Linked DNA regions of Yarrowia lipolytica. Each later gene encodes a partner of the first gene's protein in a complex. Links are inferred from orthologs where the notes say so. Each region holds a gene or a part of one and is shown on either strand. Other genes may lie near its edges. The genes, in order: YALI1_D15333g, YALI1_E38113g, YALI1_E13823g and YALI1_F12422g.

Evidence for each region.
Region 2: YALI1_D15333g (region 1) and YALI1_E38113g share a complex: the UniProt entries of both Saccharomyces cerevisiae proteins name them as parts of the mitochondrial large ribosomal subunit. The link is inferred for Yarrowia lipolytica from reciprocal best matches to the Saccharomyces cerevisiae genes MRP7 and MRPL35.
Region 3: YALI1_D15333g (region 1) and YALI1_E13823g share a complex: the UniProt entries of both Saccharomyces cerevisiae proteins name them as parts of the mitochondrial large ribosomal subunit. The link is inferred for Yarrowia lipolytica from reciprocal best matches to the Saccharomyces cerevisiae genes MRP7 and MRPL51.
Region 4: YALI1_D15333g (region 1) and YALI1_F12422g share a complex: the UniProt entries of both Saccharomyces cerevisiae proteins name them as parts of the mitochondrial large ribosomal subunit. The link is inferred for Yarrowia lipolytica from reciprocal best matches to the Saccharomyces cerevisiae genes MRP7 and MRPL49.

What each region holds. Positions count from the first base shown.
Region 1 is NC_090773.1:1,531,391-1,535,826, reverse strand, and holds YALI1_D15333g (mitochondrial 54S ribosomal protein bL27m), read right to left. Parts: upstream 2,491-4,436; coding exon 1,366-2,490; downstream 1-1,365. Other genes in the region: YALI1_D15362g (uncharacterized protein), read left to right, coding at 1-1,017; YALI1_D15345g (uncharacterized protein), read left to right, coding at 1,105-1,216, 1,261-1,355. UniProt on the Saccharomyces cerevisiae protein: Component of the mitochondrial ribosome (mitoribosome), a dedicated translation machinery responsible for the synthesis of mitochondrial genome-encoded proteins, including at least some of the essential transmembrane subunits of the mitochondrial respiratory chain.
Region 2 is NC_090774.1:3,808,797-3,813,355, forward strand, and holds YALI1_E38113g (mitochondrial 54S ribosomal protein mL38), read left to right. Parts: upstream 1-2,562; coding exon 2,563-3,627; downstream 3,628-4,559. Other genes in the region: YALI1_E38056g (uncharacterized protein), read left to right, coding at 1-100; YALI1_E38107g (uncharacterized protein), read right to left, coding at 293-1,969; YALI1_E38131g (uncharacterized protein), read right to left, coding at 4,014-4,286. UniProt on the Saccharomyces cerevisiae protein: Component of the mitochondrial ribosome (mitoribosome), a dedicated translation machinery responsible for the synthesis of mitochondrial genome-encoded proteins, including at least some of the essential transmembrane subunits of the mitochondrial respiratory chain.
Region 3 is NC_090774.1:1,379,953-1,383,878, reverse strand, and holds YALI1_E13823g (mitochondrial 54S ribosomal protein mL43), read right to left. Parts: upstream 1,582-3,926; coding exon 1,457-1,581; intron 1,267-1,456; coding exon 969-1,266; downstream 1-968. Other genes in the region: YALI1_E13848g (uncharacterized protein), read left to right, coding at 1-337; YALI1_E13818g (uncharacterized protein), read left to right, coding at 2,029-2,643; YALI1_E13808g (uncharacterized protein), read left to right, coding at 3,077-3,926. UniProt on the Saccharomyces cerevisiae protein: Component of the mitochondrial ribosome (mitoribosome), a dedicated translation machinery responsible for the synthesis of mitochondrial genome-encoded proteins, including at least some of the essential transmembrane subunits of the mitochondrial respiratory chain.
Region 4 is NC_090775.1:1,240,755-1,244,821, reverse strand, and holds YALI1_F12422g (mitochondrial 54S ribosomal protein bL21m), read left to right. Parts: upstream 1-2,616; coding exon 2,617-3,060; downstream 3,061-4,067. Other genes in the region: YALI1_F12434g (uncharacterized protein), read right to left, coding at 1-1,408; YALI1_F12430g (uncharacterized protein), read left to right, coding at 1,628-1,710, 1,758-2,031; YALI1_F12365g (uncharacterized protein), read left to right, coding at 3,871-4,067. UniProt on the Saccharomyces cerevisiae protein: Component of the mitochondrial ribosome (mitoribosome), a dedicated translation machinery responsible for the synthesis of mitochondrial genome-encoded proteins, including at least some of the essential transmembrane subunits of the mitochondrial respiratory chain.

The DNA.
Region 1 (4,436 bases):
GGAGTTTCAGCCGAGATGTTCAAGACATATTTCGTTCCCCAGAAGGGAGACAAGAAGGAAGACGACACAGTTACAATTGTGTGGGACAAGGTATTACTGGACACGGCTCTGTATGCATTTGTGGTAACACTGTGCGAATGCATTAACGATGATGTGGAGCTCCTGAAACAGTTTGATAACGCCGAAGCTCCTGCATCTGAGCTTTTGGACGTTCTCATTGCACCCGTCACTTTCGACAGTGCGATCCATGCCCGCCCCGAGTACCAAGCTCTGGTGGACGTGTTCAGATACTTGGCTGCGAACCGAGTGACCGGACGGCTATCTCCTAGCTACCAATACCCCGTTATTGTTGCTATTGTTAAAGATGCCATCACTGTTGACCTGGAGGTAGTCATCGAGACAGAAGCCAAGTCCACTCCTTTGGATCTCGAACACTTGTTCATTGCATACTTTTCCATCTCCATGAAAGAACTCAAGCTGGTTTTAGATACGGAAAGTAAGAGCTGCAACGCCGCACAAGTGATTCGGTTCTGTTTCGAGGCTCTCACTGTTCTCCTGGCCACTGAGCCCAAGCTTCCCACCTGCTCGGGACAGCTTCAACATGACTACCCCGAGTTCATCACTCAGGTCACCAACTACCTTGTTTTTGCACAGAAGGAGTACCCTGCCAAACGAAAGCTCAAGGAGATTCAGACTTCTGTTCTGGAGGTCACGGACTACCCTCATGTCAAGAGTGCCACTATTGAGCTTCTGTCTTCCATTCTTCAAATTGCATCTGCTACTTCGAAACAGCAGCTGGCAATGGTGCAGAGTCTCATCTGGAAGGCAGGAGGTCTCCCTGAAATTCTCAACTGCTGCAACATTGACGCCAACAATCCGTTTTTGAAAGAACGAGGAGTGGTTTGTCTACGATATGTCATGGAGGGCAACGAGGAGGCCCAGAAGTTTGTAGCAGATCTGGAGGCCCAATCACAGGCCCAGAAGCTCGACCCTAAAAACGAGGAGTCGTTGCCGTAAGCGACGAGGGATAGTGACATAGAAACAGGAGCATACCAATAGCATTGCGCACTGTCTAACTACACCACGTACTTCTTGTATGTGATTATGAGTGTAGGAACGGTAAATAGGGCACTGTATGTTAGCTACCGGCATGTTCGTGACCTGGCAATAACAAGATATGACTGCCTAAACCCAGGTTCTTCTTTTGATCAGAGATGTAACCGTTGCGCAACATATACAATGCACTCACTCGTAAGATAGGGTCAAAAGTCAGCTACTTGTACGTTACCCACATAATTTTTCAAAACAACTTCATTTTCATCATGCAAACGCACTGCAACTTCTGCTACTACTAGCTATATACAATTAGTGAACAAACTCCTTCTGGAAGGCAATGTCCTCGGAAAAGTGGGCGTCCTTGGGGGCAAGAACATAGTCAATACCCTTTCGCTGGACGTTGTAGACCTTGACCAGCTTGCCTTTGCCCTTCTTGGCGGCCTTGACCACCTCCTCGTGGGGCTGCACGGCCTCCAGAAGCGATGCGGTGACCTTGAACTCGTCGGCCAGCTGCTCCTTCTGGCTCTGGCTCAGGTAGACAGTGGCGTCGAGGATCTTGTCGATTTTGGCGATCTGAGAGAGCGAGATGAACGCGTTGGGCTGTCGCACCTTGGTCAGCTTGTCTCGGGTCTCGTTGAGCTCCTTCTCCACGGTCTCGGGGCTGCTCTTGGGCACCACGGTTCCAAACTTGGTGACCTCAAACTTGGCATCAAAGTCCTTGACGTCAGAAGAAGTGTTGAGAAAGGCGTCGGCAAACCGAGCAGCCTCAGCGTTGGTCCATCCCAGAGTTCGGTAGTGGGCCATCTTTTGGGCTCGAGCAGCCAGCTCACTGTTATCGAAGCCCAGCTCCTTGAGCTTGGCAGCCAGCTTGTCGGTGAGGGCCTGCTCCTCAGCCTGCTTGACGGCCCGACGCTCGGAAATCTCCTCCAGCAGCTGCTGCTCCTTGTTGGGTCTCCATGCGAGCTCGGCCTCGGCTCTCTTGGGGTCGGAAATCACATTTCGGCCAAACCGTCGAGCTCGGGGAGCCATGTGGTCGGTGGGAAGTCGGGCTTCAGGGGTCAGACCGACGCCGACGAAACGACGGGTGGGGTGGAACGGATCATAGTAGAATCGCACGTATCCAGGCTCCTTGGCGTAGATGGTGTGATCTCGACCGATCCATGTGTTCTCGCCAGGGTAAAACTTGGTTCCTCGCTGTCGGTAGATGATGTCCGAGGGCTGGACATAGGTTCCCTCGGTGGCCTTGACACCCAGTCGTCGACCAATAGAGTCCTTGAGGTTGGTCTTACCTCCTCCAGCTCGCTTGGTGGCATGTCGCACGAGAGGCAAGGCCAAAAGAGACACGGCCTGGGGGCCCGAAAGGGACACAGAGAAGGCAGCGCCGGCGGCAGCCCGGGCACGGACCGCGGACTTAACTCCTGAAAGTCGCAGCATTGTGGTTCTGAAGAGTGTGTGGGTTTTCAGCGATTTCTGCGTGCACTGTTGGGACTCTCTACAATGGTTCAATGCTAATTTTCACGTCACGTGCAGTGGAAAAGTTTATTTTCGGATGACACTGGGTAGACGGTGCAAGGGGCGTAGATTGACAAACTTAGAGGAGCAGCAAGGGCTTTCGAGATGACGGGCCATCAAACATGATTGTAGAGCTTAGGGAAGGGGTACCGATATTTGGGTGATTTAGTTGAGACCCAATTGGAATGTTTGGCGTCGTGAATTCTACTTGGAGTGCGTATACTAGATCGGCACGCATAACTCGTTAGTTAAGCATGTAGTTGGGGTTAGTTGAGAAAGTAGTTATGGTTAGTTGATAAAGTAGTTAGGGTTAGTTGAAGAGATGCTGTTGAAGAGAGTGGCTGAGGATTTCGAGACACTCACACAACGATGGCTCCAGCGAATGCACCAGTGTGGACAACTGCCCTGAACAATGCACTGGTGTATCCTTACCCATTGCCATTAATATATCTGGTTATAACAACATCGGCGGTAATACAAGATACATACTTGTAGTTCTATCTCAGAAGTCTCCTCCTACAAATTAATAGCCTTGACTTACTCGTGATGTACAGAACCATTTGATTGAACGACATAGTAAAACCAATGGTATCTTCTCTGTCACACGAGATAATATTCCACACACACGAGAAAATAAACCGCACAAGCGTATTGCTCGGGCCGTTCACGCTTTCTGTCGAACGCACTAATTACAGTGTAAGGACAAGATAACGACCAGAATGAGATCCGAAGACGTCTCATGGGGGGTATCGCAGATTTAGATGAGCAACGGCAAGGGTACGTACGTATACGATTAGACACACAGTGGTAGTTTTTTCTGGGGGTTATCGACATTTGGTCATGATATATCCACTACACTGGTATGTATGTACTCCTACAGTATGTGCAGTTATTGGTTGCTTGTACTATGGCCGCGATAGCAGCAGTTAGTTGTGGCGATTCTGAACAGTGTCCCAGTTAAATATTTACATAATAGTTTATCTTTTCTATCCAGGAATATCAAATGTACAAGTACGAAGATGGATACCGAATATGAGCATACCAGATAGAATATCTCGGTTCAATACAACACTGCGATCTTTTTCAGACCGAGATCAGGCAAACAAAAAGCTCATCGCCTCAAGCAGCTTTCGATGCTTTCGATGACAAGGAACTGTCCATCCAAGTAATTATTGGAACATGAGTCTCGGTACGGGAGTGATGAGAAAGATGGCGAGTAAGAGGGCGTCTGGCTATTGAGAAGATTCAATAACTTGATATACTGTACAACACAAGTAGGAGTGTCGGTACTCTTCCAGATCATTGTCAAAACCAAGCATTAGACTTGTTTCTTTTATCGTGTTTTATCTAATACCACGTTGCTCAAGAACAGTTGAATGGAAAGCTTTGGCAAGGGTGACAAACCGCTAGTTTCCATTCTGAGGGACAAATTCGCTCAGCCGTTTGTTATATATCCAAGGGCTCCTTTCATATTGTCGACGACCCCCTTATGGCTCTGACAGAGCAAACCAGGGCTCCCAACACCAACGAAGACACGGCATATCGATGTGGAGAGTCGTACAAGGAATGTGTTGTCATTCCTGCACCTAGTCCCGAGCTCTTCACCAACAAACACTATTCTCCATCGTTTGATGAAGAGCAGTTCCAGGACCTTGTCAGGCAGTCTAACTACATTTTCCGCCAGTTGGAGTTTTGATACATACGTTTGACTTCATCCTTCAGGTCTGCAGATATAAAGTATTGATTTGCAGTGAGAGAAAAAGATGGACTACCAGCATAGTATGTATGTCCTGGTACATAGTAGAATCACCTCCGTCTCTCAAGACGGCTTATTCCTCCAATCAGATCATTGAAGCCGTATATCACCA
Region 2 (4,559 bases), on another chromosome or scaffold:
ATCCAAGCTGCCGCCTAGTGGAAAGATCCCTGGTCCCAAGAAGCGGCCCGCCAGCAAAATGTTCTGGCGAAAGCCCAGTGATAACGAAGTGTTTGCCTAGGAAGCAAACATGTATAATTGTCTGGCGTATGTAATATGTCAGCGTGTAAATTATGTATTGATAGATTATTGTGATAGGAGTAAGGAGTAGGAGCGTAGCGCGTGTTTTAAATGTGGTATAAACGAGGACTCTGCTATAGCCGGCCAATTGTATTTCTTATCATGCATGAATTAGTATATGAGTATTTGAACTCTAGTCGCTCAGACCATAGTCTTCGTAATCGTCATCGTCATCTTCTTTATCTGCGAGATCCTTCATGGCAGACTTGACGCCCTCAAAGTCGGCAACCTCGAAACCCTCAATCTTGAACTCGCCATCCTCAAAGTACATGGTGACAATCAGATCTTCATCTTCGTCCTCCTCGGCCTTATCTGGCATCTGTTTAGATTCTGCCTCAGCTGTGGAGAGTGTTTGAGTCCGGAAGAAGGTCTGTGTTGAAGTGACAGTGTCAGTTCCATCATCTTCAGCTGAGTCCACAGCTTTTTCCTCCACCGAGGCCTCCACTTGCTTTTTGGCCTCTTCCCTCTTAGTCGAGGCAGCTTCCTTCTTCTTGGCCAGCTTCTTGGACTGCTTGGCCTCCTTGTTAAGCTGCTTCATAACTTCATCAGTAGCTCTGGCAAGGACATCCTCGATCCCAGCGTCATCTAACATAGTAAGACCCTGGATCTCCAGGTTTGACATGTCGCCCTGTTCCTGCCACCATGCATACTTCTCTTCGAGAGTCACATCATCATCGTTAATGCTGAGCAGCAGCTGCTGACGAGTGATCATGAGACGCACCTCAAAGTGGCGGTTGATGGGAGCAGGAACAAACATGGATCTGGTCTGGATGATGAAAGGAGCATCATGAGAAGGAGTGGCAATGCCAAGCTCCTTGAACAGTGTCTGTCTATTGACGCAGTCGCCGAGCCAGACTCCAATGTAGTTGAGAGCTCGAGCTTTGGTGAATCTCCATGCAACCTCAATCTCGTCAATCTTGTCCTTGTTGACATTGGATCCGACAAACTGGTGGGCACGAGCCGAGACAGCCTCCTGCTCCTCCTTCACGTGAGCAACGCCGTCAAACATGCCGTCAATGGTCTCAAACTCGGGGGCCTCAGACTCGACGCTGTAGCACATGATGGGCAAAGACTCATCTGGAGGAGGCTGAAACCTCATGTCTTTACAGAGGCGCGGGGTGCCGACCTGCATGACGTAGTTGCACGTTCGCTTCTCCTTGATCCACAGTATATGGTCATGCTGGACGTTTTTGTCACATACAAACTGAACCTCGATTTCTCGGTTGGCGCCGGTCAGAGGACAATGGGTTCCCGAACGGAGTCTATGGGCCAGAAAGGGGATTCCTCCGGCACTGGTGACCGTGTTGGTCGTATCGTCCTTCTCGAAGCTACCGAGCACGAACGTGGGCGAATCGTCTGCCTGAGGAGGAGGATAGATTCGAGGGAAGTAATTGTCTCCATGTCTTCGATACTGAACGACTCCCGAGCCGTAACAGAAACGATACGAGAAGAATCCCTGTTCGTAGAAGAGACAGTCACCCAGAAGAGGCAACATGAGCTCCAAAGCTCTGTCTCGGGCCTCTGTTGGCGACAGTTCTCCCTCCTCTCGTGATTTTGAGCTCTTCGTGGTCGTGACTTCCGGAATACCGCAGATGTGGTTTGTGCCGTTGAATTGCATCATCTCGTACCCCAGGGGATGGCCATATACCGGATCTCGATGCGGTAGCAGGCCGTTCTGGACATCTGCTTGTCGCAATGGTCGGTTGTGGAACTGTACTGTGAATTGTGGGTCGGCAAAGAGATCGTCTCCTATGTTGAAGGTTGCTGCGAGCGACGAGCTTGCTATCAATGCCAGGGACTTTAACAACATGGCATGTGGCGAACTTGTGAGCTGGTGGTGGTGATTTCAATGTTAGTTACAGCTGTACTTGAACAGCACACGTCATGTCAGTTCAGCATGAATTAAGCGCAGTGGGAGATGCTGTTAGGCATTCAATAAGTGTCATAGGAGAATTTTTAATAAATATAATAAAATCACAGTAAATCGTTAGTCTGAACGAATTATTATATTTATATTTTCGTTTTTTACTCTTAAATCACTATTACAGCAATAAGCCGCCTCGTACACTCACCCCATCTCCATTACTGTATGTACGCTCATGTACCGAAATTGAGTTCATTCTAAGTATATGATTGGCTTAGTAAGCTTAACATGTTCAAGAAAAAATATGGAAGGTACAAGTACTTATATAGAGAAAACTACTTGGCCAAGGACACACTTTTGAATAATGACACAGAAAAAATCTATTGCTTTGAAACGACCTCAGCTGATCTGTCATTATTAGTACTTATAGCACCACCTGAATCACTGTCACTCCATCCCTACACTCTCTCCTCCCAATGTGCATGTTTTAACTCTGAAAAATTCCACAGGTCAATATCACATCTTCACACACAGCAGCCATGATTAGATCGACTGTTCGGCTGGCGCCACGAGGAGCAAGATTTATCACCAACAACAGTGGCTCTGCCGAGACTCTGCGGGTGGCCGACGAGAAGCTGGCCCAGATTCTCACCGGCGGCTCCACGTCCGGAGCACACACCTCCATCAAGGATCTGAACAAGCGAGCTCTGTACAAGAGTCCCCCTGGTCTGGATGCAATCTTCCCCGCTGCTCTGAAGATTGTCGAGGAGAAGAGCGCTGCCATCAAGAAGCAGGCCGAGGAGATTGCTAAGGAGTTCGAGGCTTCTGGAGACAAGGCTCTCAAGGACCAGTACATCAAGCTCATGGGCAAGGCCGAGGTCCACAACCCCCAGGTGATGATGAACCACGTGAACGGCAATGTCGATATGAATCACCCCGTCTACCGACATCTTGCCGAGGCCGACTACAAGAAGTACGAGCAGATTCTGCTGGTCGAGAGTCTAGAGACCATGCATGTCATTCCCGACACCATGCCCGTGATTGACGCCAAGGCTCGAGTTCGAGTCAACTTCCCCGGCAACGAGAAGGGCAAGTGGATCACTCCCGGAACACTGCAATCCACCGAGCTCACCTCCGAGCTGCCCATCGTCGAGATCCAGGAATTCGAGGACATCCCCAAGGACGCCAAGTACACAGTCCTGCTGGTTGATCCCGACTACCCCGTCCCTGAGACCGAGTCCTTTGGTACCAAGGTCCACTGGGCCGTGTCCAACGTGCCCATTTCCGTCGATCAGCCTCTTGTGAAGCCCGAGCTCGGAGACACTCTGGTCAAGTATGTGCCCTCCACCCCCGAGAAGAACTCTGGAGACCACCGAATGTCTCTGTGGGTGTTCCGACAGGACGGTGACGTCAAGGACTCTCTTTCGCATTCCGACTTCTTCGACATCCGGGGCTTTGCCGACAAGCATAAGCTGACCTCTGTGGGCGCTTTCTTCTGGCGAAACCGGTTCGACATGTTTGCCGAGAGCCTGCGGGAGAAGTTTGGCCTTGGAAGCGGCCGAGTGTTTGGAATGTCCAGAACTGGCGAGGACGTTCCCCGATAAGTGTATATAGTCAGAATCAGAACAAGCACCTCGTGCTTGTATTCGTAATGTGAAGAGTTACATCAACATGTCTATATTGTAAGATAACCATGGAAAGATCAGATCTAAAGGGTGGCTTAAATCAATTGAACATGGAGAACTTTTTTCGTATCTGGTATTCAAGGCTCCATCTACCATTTGTACTTGTAGTACGTCATACTGTGTCCAACTACACTCAACTACAACCCACATTCAAGTCACATACATAAATCAAATTGAAGGGAGCTGCGCAAGGCGTGCCACCAAAGAGGGAAAAGAACCGCTGGTAAGCCACTTCGCCTCATAACCTGTCCAAATGGTCAATTAATTACATGCTCGTCGAGCTTTTCGATGCATAAATAATACGCTTAGGCCTTCTCGGGGAAAGCGTGGTTGAGGTAGGCTTCAATGTCGAACTTGTCGTCAGAGATATCGGTAACAACACCGGTGGAGGCGACGGGGGCGGGGTGGAGTCGGGCCCACTCGGCCTTGGCCTGCTCAATGAGCTTCTCCTGCTTCTTGAACTTGGCATCAGCCACCTTCTTCTCAGCCTGGGAGTAGAGGGTTCGGTTGTGAACGAAGCCGTAGACGACACCGGCACCGAGGGCGGACCATCGCAGAACGTTGAGAGTGGCAGACATCTTTTCGGTTGTGTAATGTATGAGGTATTGGACCTTCAGTATGTGTGGTGGTGGTGTGTTCCGACTGCAGAGGTAAAATATGACAATGCGCCGTTGGCCAATGGGAGCACAAATATAAGTAGGGTAACTAACTCTATTGATCCTCGTGTTGTTATCAAACAAGGAGGCTGGTTAAGTAGTTAGTGGGGGAATGGTGACCAAAGATGAACTCCGATGGTGGTTTTGTTGCCAATTCGTTTTTCCAACAATTTCAGAGTTTTTTTTCCTCCCTAT
Region 3 (3,926 bases), on another chromosome or scaffold:
CCACAAGCAGCTTAAAAAAGGCAAGCTGACGGAAAAGTACTTTGACGAGAACCTCGACTTCAAGTCCGACGAAGTGGACCCCCATACTGGACGAATGATCACACATACACTACGATACACACAAAACCAGGCTCCTCTGCCTGTCAAAAAGCTGCTGGGCAAATGCAGAGAGACCGGATCAGATATCATCCTACAGGGCCATCTGATCGATCTATTAGACAAGCTCTTTGCACTCAACCCCGAAAAGCGAATGACCCCAGAACAGGCACTCGAGCATCCCTTCTGTCATGATAGAGAGGCTGACATAGACCAGCTCGACCCCCAACACAAAGCATAAGATACAAGAGAGCAGCCACTTTGGGCATGTAAAATAGACGGAGGAAAGGCACGCATAGAAATAAGTTATTCCAGACTGTGTGATGTACACAGCTTCAATCAAGTTCCCAAGTTTACTGTAGCCGAGGTTGATGTTACCTTGCACCTTGCTGAATCTACTACAAGTATCCTTTTGACAACATTCAGGTTGCTTCTGTTTCTGTTTCCTGTTTCTGTTTCTGTTTCTGTTTCTGTTTCTGTTTCTGTTTCTGTTTTCTGTTCTGTTTCCTTTCACTCCCTTTTGCTTCCAGTAGTTGTGTTTCTGTTCATCCCTATAGTAATTGAGTGACTTCATACAAGTTGGTACAAGTTCTGTACTTATGAGTACTGTACTCGTACGAACACTTGTAGTACAACCGCTTGTTTGCCTCGTACAAGTACTTCTCACTTGCGCTCCACGATATATCGTAGTTAGAGATCGTCGGAGTGCCGCACAATTCAACAAACGAGCTTCTACTGTGTCACAACCGTTATGGTATAAAAGCCACTTGCACACCACCATTCGCTCCATACCTCTACTATGGCGATTCGTATCGGCCATTGTCCTTCGCTCTTTCACCATCTTTCGCTATGCTATAATTTACTATGTACATTTAAATCTTGTGTCGTGCCTTGGGGTCGGTATGGTAAGGAGACCAGATACCTCGGACACTCTCGTTTATACTTTCAACGGGGCTCTTCATCTGCTTTCGGGGAGCTCCGTCGGAGCTCTTGAGCATCTCAAACTTGCCGTTGATGAATCGGGGATGCTTGTTCTTGCAGCAGATGGTCTTCTCGGCACCGTTGACAAACTCGCCTCGGATGAAGGGGTGGCCAATGTCCTTGACAGCCACAAACTCGATCTCGGGGTTCTGAGCAGCAATCTTCTGCAGGTTCTTGTCCAGGTATTGTCTGTGTTAGTGTGATCTGAGACGCGGTGGATGTCTGAATTCAAAGACCAAACAAAGATGACACGTCACACCACACGCACTGGGTAGCATTCTGCTCTTCATCTAGCACCCCACTTGTGCCACTGGCATGTCTGTACCTCCATCTATGTCCGTGTCCAAGTCACAGTTCAGTTCCCCGTTGTGATACTCACCTCATTCCGTCGGAAGAGCCACCCCAGTTGCAGTACCGGAAAGTGACCTTCTTGCACTGAAGCACAAAGTTGCCGACACCGTTGAGGTTTCGGGCAACAGTCTGGTAAGCTGGTCGAGCCGACATTTTTGTGTGTTGAATGTAGATATTTCAGATTGATCTGTGCGTTGCGTTTAGGCTCCTGTAATTTTGCAAAGGTAGGGTAACTGTGGAGGCCCGAAGGGGGGGAGGAGTAATTCTTGGTAATGAGAGACAATTAATATGAAGGAGAGCATTTTAAATGGAAGAAAAACAACAATAGAGACAGTGTGGATTCTTCCATACAATAATTACCAATATTAGAAGAGCTTGAGGGGGTATTGATCTGCCCTTCAGAGTTCAACTAAGCCAAATACAGTTACTAATGTTGGGGCATTTATTAGTTAGCTAATTGTCAAACGTTTACTTAGCCTTCTCCCGCCTCTTTCGACTACCGCCACTGAAGTCATCAACAAGGTTCCAATGCAGAGCGAATCAAGACCAAGCTGAAGTCGTCTTGAACACCACAACTCACTCGCTCTCACGACAAAAACAATGCTGCGAACACGAGCCGTCGGAATCTTGTCCCGCTCGATCCACACCTCTCGGGTGTGTGCGAAAAACGTCAAGCTCGAAAACCCGTGGTTCAAGGGCGAGGGACCCATGGAGCGAACCAAGCGAAAGCTCGAAAACACGGCTGCTCGTCCTGGAGGAGCTCTGGCCGAATACGATCTCTACGGCGATCTTGAGACGGCCCACAACAACGTGGAGGCCGTGCTTTCCAACGGCTTTGTGTTCAAGGACGACAAGGTGCTCAAGAGCAAGTCTCCCAGCGGAAAGAAGCCCGTTGGAGCCATTCTGATGGGCCTTTCTGAGGTGCTGGCCTGGAACCTTACTCCCGAGTGCGTCAAGGGTCTCGATACCGGTCTGGTTGAAATCGATCCTGCTGCACTGGGTGTCTTTGAGGTTGTCTACCCTCGTCCTGAGCTGCTCATCTTCGGCCTGGGAAAGAAGTCGCGAGTGCTGTCGCCCAAGACCCGAAACTATCTCAACTCTCTGGGAATCTCCGTCGAGATCTCTGACAGTGCCAACGGAGCCAAGAACTTTGATCTTCTGGCCACCGAGCGTCCCGGTCTTGTTGCTGCTGCTCTCTTTCCTCCTGACCTGTGATTAGAAGGACAAAAGAGCAGCAATGTATATAGTAAAGTATTTATTTGTGTATCAAGGGGAGGGTGGAGACGGTAGTATGAGCGGATGGTCAGTATAGTACAAGTACAGTGTACTTGTTATTGCAAACAGCCTTGTAGCTCGCTGATTCTTCCTGGGGCACACTGTAGGTCTGAAAAACTCGATCACGTCTTGAAAAGTCTTCTTCAGAAGAATATATCCAAAAAAAAACCTAGAAAAACAAACTAGCGACGATATTCTGTTCGCTTTCCCCTTGTATTTACTTCTTCTCTACCTTTCTTGTATAACTCTCTTCAATCCCATCTCACTTCACCCTACTCACGATGTCAGATAAACTTCTGATGCACAACACTAATATTTCAAACCAACATCACGACCATCAACATCACTACACACACTAACAGCATCCATAATCATGGTGAGTATCTGCGCGACATTTGCTCTGCAATCAACAACAAGGCTAACCCAGGCTGAATTGGAACGGCTACCCCCTCACATCCAGCGGCTCTTCCCCGAGTGTCCCGAGCCACGGTACCTGGAGCCGATCGACTATGCTCCTGAGGACCGAAGAACGCAGAAAATCTCAGGCGTTTCGGCGTATATGGAGCTGTTGAAGCAGCCCGATTCGGAATACGTGCCGACCGAGTCGTGGCTGGTCAAACAGCAGCGAGAGAAGCGGCTAAAAAGTGAGCGCCAAAAGGTGACCCAGCAGGAACGAAAAGAGGCATGGGATCCCAAGAAGGACGACAAGATTGTGGGCGATCCGTTCAAGACGCTATTTGTGGCGCGTCTGGCGTTCGACGTGACTGAAAACGACCTGGAGGAACATTACATCAAGTTTGGGCCTGTCAAACACGTACGTATTGTACGGGATCTAAAGAGCGGCAAGAGCAACGGATATGGGTTTGTCGAATTCCAGGAGGAAGACGATTTTCGAAAAGCATTTCAGATGACCAACGGATCGATCATCAAGGGCAGAAAAGTGGTGGTTGACGTCGAGAGAGGCCGTACGGTCAGTGGATGGCTTCCTCGACGACTAGGAGGAGGAAAAGGCGGAAGACACTACACAAAGGAGTCTGAACGCAAACCGCTCGGTCCACCAATGCCACCGGGAGGAGCTGGAGGACGGGATCTGTTTCCAGGACACAGAGACCGAGGTGGGCCCAGATCAAGAGACCCTAGAGGATCCAGACCTCCGGAAGACTACAGAGACTCGTTCAGAGGACGGGGCGGAGGTCGAGGAGGACGAGATTTCAGAGACAGGG
Region 4 (4,067 bases), on another chromosome or scaffold:
AAACGAAATGCACAAACTCCGAGGCGTCCTTGTGAGTAGCAGGAGACAGTTCCTTGACCTGGTCAAGAATGCGCTGCTTACATCGCTGCTTGTTTTTAATAGTGTCGAATCGGTTCACGACAATGAAAACATACGACTTTTCTCGAGCAGCAGCAGTGATAAACTCCTTGGCAGAAAGGGTAAAGTGGTTTTCGGCAGAAACGACGAAAATCACAAGATCAATCTCCTCCTGACGAGAAAACACTTGGGTGGTCTGGTACGAGTCCTTGTTGAGTCCCGGAGCGTCAATCAGCGAAATATCAATCACTCCGTTGTGCAACAGCGACTGGGTGATGGGTCTGTTATCTACGGTGTAGATTTTCAGAATGTGGTATCGGTCCACCTCATAGACCAGATCCTCGAGGTCGCCAAGCTTGTGCACCTCGTAGGAGGCCTCCGAGTTGCGGTTGTACTCCATTCCTAGTGGCACCGCATGAACTTCCTCCACATTGTCGTTTTCCCGCGCGTCAATCACCTCACAGAAGACGTTAGTACAGGGCTGCTGGTCTTCGGGCAGCAGATATCTTCTGAGAAGCGCGTTGCAGAAGGTCGACTTACCCGAGTTGACATCTCCGGTAATGAGCACCTTTGAGGCGGTATCGTCAATACGAACTCTCAAGTTGGACAAGTGCTTCATGCACTTTGTGATTCGTGTGTCGATGAGCACGCCTAGGGCTTCCTTGTCAAACTCGTGCACGTCCTTGGACGCTTTGGAGTCATCCACAATGGCGAGCTTGAAGATGTTGAACTCCGAGTCCACGGTGGGCAGTTCGTCGAACCCCTCAATGTAGCTTTGGCGTCTGTTCTGGGGAGCAGGAGTGATGTCTCGGGGGGCCTCGCCGAATATACTAACGTTCCGTAGTAGCTCGTTTCGGGGGTCTTGGATCGCCTGTAGGTCTGGAACCGGTGAGCTGTGTCTGGAAGAGGTGGCTGTGGGGGGCTGAGGGTTTGCCACTGGGGGGTAGTAGACCGGTCGGTCTCTGTTAACGTCCTGGAGCTCCCGTAGGATGCCCATCACGGCCGAGATACTTCGACCTAACGATATCCGGTTCTCATTGTACCGAAGCTGGCTCAGTTGGGCTTGTTGCATCTGGCGAGTCTCGCCACTGAGCCGTCGGTGCGAGCTGTCTGCGGCCTCCAGGGTCGAGCCATCAAACACAATGAGCTTCGACTTGTCGACCAGCTCGTCGGTGATGATGCTGCCGGACACAGAAGGCGCGTATCCCGAGTCATGGTCATTGGACCCTCTTCGGTGGTAGTTGTCGCTGTTGGCGTTGGAGTTGGCGTTGGCGTTGGACTCTCTGTTTCCGTCTTTACTGCTGCTGGGCTCTTGGCCCGGCGGGTAGTCGTACGGGTCTCTGTCGGACATGGCACACACGTTTCGAGGATATCCGTCTGATTTCAAAAGATTTGAGATGGTGAGTTAGCAAGTTACCCGGGAGAGATATTGGGACTGTTTAAGTTAGTTGCATAACTACAGTAAGTTGAAAGTCAACTGAAGAACCACTATAGCAGTGATGGGCAACTGGAAAAGGTGGCAAACAGAGACCGGGAGATCACGTGGGGGGCGGGCGGTCACGTGACCGGAATGGACGTTTCACAGCGCGCCCCTCTCCTTCCGTCCACATTCAGCTTTCTGTACTCTCTTTCTCATGCTGACGCTTGCAGTTGGTATCCACGTAATCAGCGGCTGAGATCAGGTCATTCGAAACAGCAAGGTTTCAGGAACCATCAAAACATGTGACCATACGAGGAGGTTGTTCTGGGGGCGTTTTGAGTCATGTGAGAGAATCAAAATGGCATTATTTGTTGCTAATTGAGTGGATATGGCACTATTTTCGTCTTGGGTTCTTTTTTCCCCCAAAAAAACGCACAATTTATCTCCGTCGGGGCTCTGATCTCGGGCGCATCGGATTTAGCAATGGCCTGTTTGGGCCTAATTTCGAGTTGAGTCGTAATCCCGCAGTGATGGTATTTTTTTTCTCGCAGTGATGTATTTTTTTCTTTTTTCCCCTCTTTTTTTGAAATAAACAATTTAATTGATAATTGCACTTGGGGTAAAGCAGATGTTAGAGGAGATTCGGGTTTTTATTGGTGGCTCTCACAAAAAAAAAATTCTTTTGAATTTTCGTACCTCCGTCTCCAATTAAATTGACCAATTTGCTGTTGATATCGGCTTAGTAATGTATGTCTTAGTTGGAATATTTAGTTGAATGATTAGTTTACTGAATGCATCATATTTTATGTATTGTGTATAAAAATATATATAATATGTTACAGTATATACAGTATATGTTATAAAAAAATACCCTAAGAAAAGTGAGAAAAAAAAAAGAAGAAAAAAAACATTACATTAACCGTGATTGCGGGTTCGATCCTCGAGCGCTAGATTATATCACATGCTCCGATTCTAATAAAACAAGACAATTCCGCCCCAAATATACGCCGTACATACTCGGTGGTATTTTCGTCTCTTGAATCCCCCCATTCACCGCCCCGCTTACATCATGTACCAATCTTCCAACTGAAACTTTTTCATACATACATCACCACTTCACACAACACCACACAAACACAATGATGTCGCTATTGAGACAGGTGCGGCACATGTCGACCGCCGCCAGCGCGCCCAGCGGGTTCCTCAAGGTGTCTGCCGAGCAGATCAAGCCCCTGCTGCTCGCCAACCAGCACATTTTCGCCAAGGTGCACATGCACAACAACGCCTACCTGGTGACCAAGGGCGACCAGATGCGACTGCCTTACCGGTTCAAGGGCCTCAAGGTGGGCGACGTGATCAACTTTGAGCACGTGAGCCAGATCGGCTCTCGGGATCACGTGTTCCAGGGTGACAAGTACATTTCCCAGGACCACTTCAACATCAAGGGCGTTGTGACTGCTCTCACTGCTGAGCCCATGACCACCCATGTTCACCATCGAATCAAGGACAAGGGTTACACTCGGACCCAGCGAAAGGTGCCCCAGACCATCATTCGAATTAGCGAGCTGGAACTCAAGGCTTAGAAGAGGAAGTTGAAATTACGAGTGGAGCGAGTAATTTGGTTCTTCTGCGTTATGTATATAGGAATGCATTTATTGCGTAAAGGAACGACACCGGGCGACACAGGTGCTACTGTCCAACGAGCACTGGCTATCATGTGCAGTTGTGGGTCGTGATCTACAACTGAGATCAGTATGTGAATGGAAGGCAACAATTGAGGTTGTAGTGAGGTCATTATATAGTGGGGGTATCGATAAAGTGTCTGGAGTTGAAAAGTTGCAGACGAATATCTCCATTTGGTATTTTGCTTGGTACGGTGAATTGATGATTGTAGCCATACTAGGTACCAGTGTGACTATGGAGGATGGGGGATCTAAGAGGGTCTAAGATCTAAGGTCTAGATCTAAGAAGGTCTAAACATGTTAATAGAGGTCTCTACAGATGCTGAGATACACGTGTCTAGTCACCATCTTCAATTACCGGTCAAATACTCCCCAATATCTCTCCCTCACTTCGTCACCAAATCTAAACAAAACAGTTGAGGATTTATTTGACTCGGTTGTCCCAGTTGGGTGCGGCTTTAACGAAGAGAGGACGGATTAATGTGGCTGAACTTGCTCCAAAAGTGACCTTTTTGGAACGGGGAAAAACGGAATTAACTCATAACCAGATTTATGACGCTTTGCACTCTTCACTTTCCCCCATAATCTCCTTCAACCCCCTCAACCTCTCTCGTTCTGACCCCGATAAACTTAAACTCCCTGCAAACACGAGACCACGCACTCCAGCATCTCACCACTACTTGTACAGTACAAGCACCCGTACACGGAACCATGGGCGAGTTCCATATCAACCTGATTCCGACGTACGACGACGCTCATAATCTCACGGACGATCTGCAGTCCGTGTCGTCGTCGCCGTACTCGGTGACCGTGCCCAAAAACCGACTTCGTTCGCGCAGCGACTTGTCTGAGGTCGCAGACCGATCTGTGTCCACTGGAGCTCTGGAGCGACTGGTTCCGAACCCAAA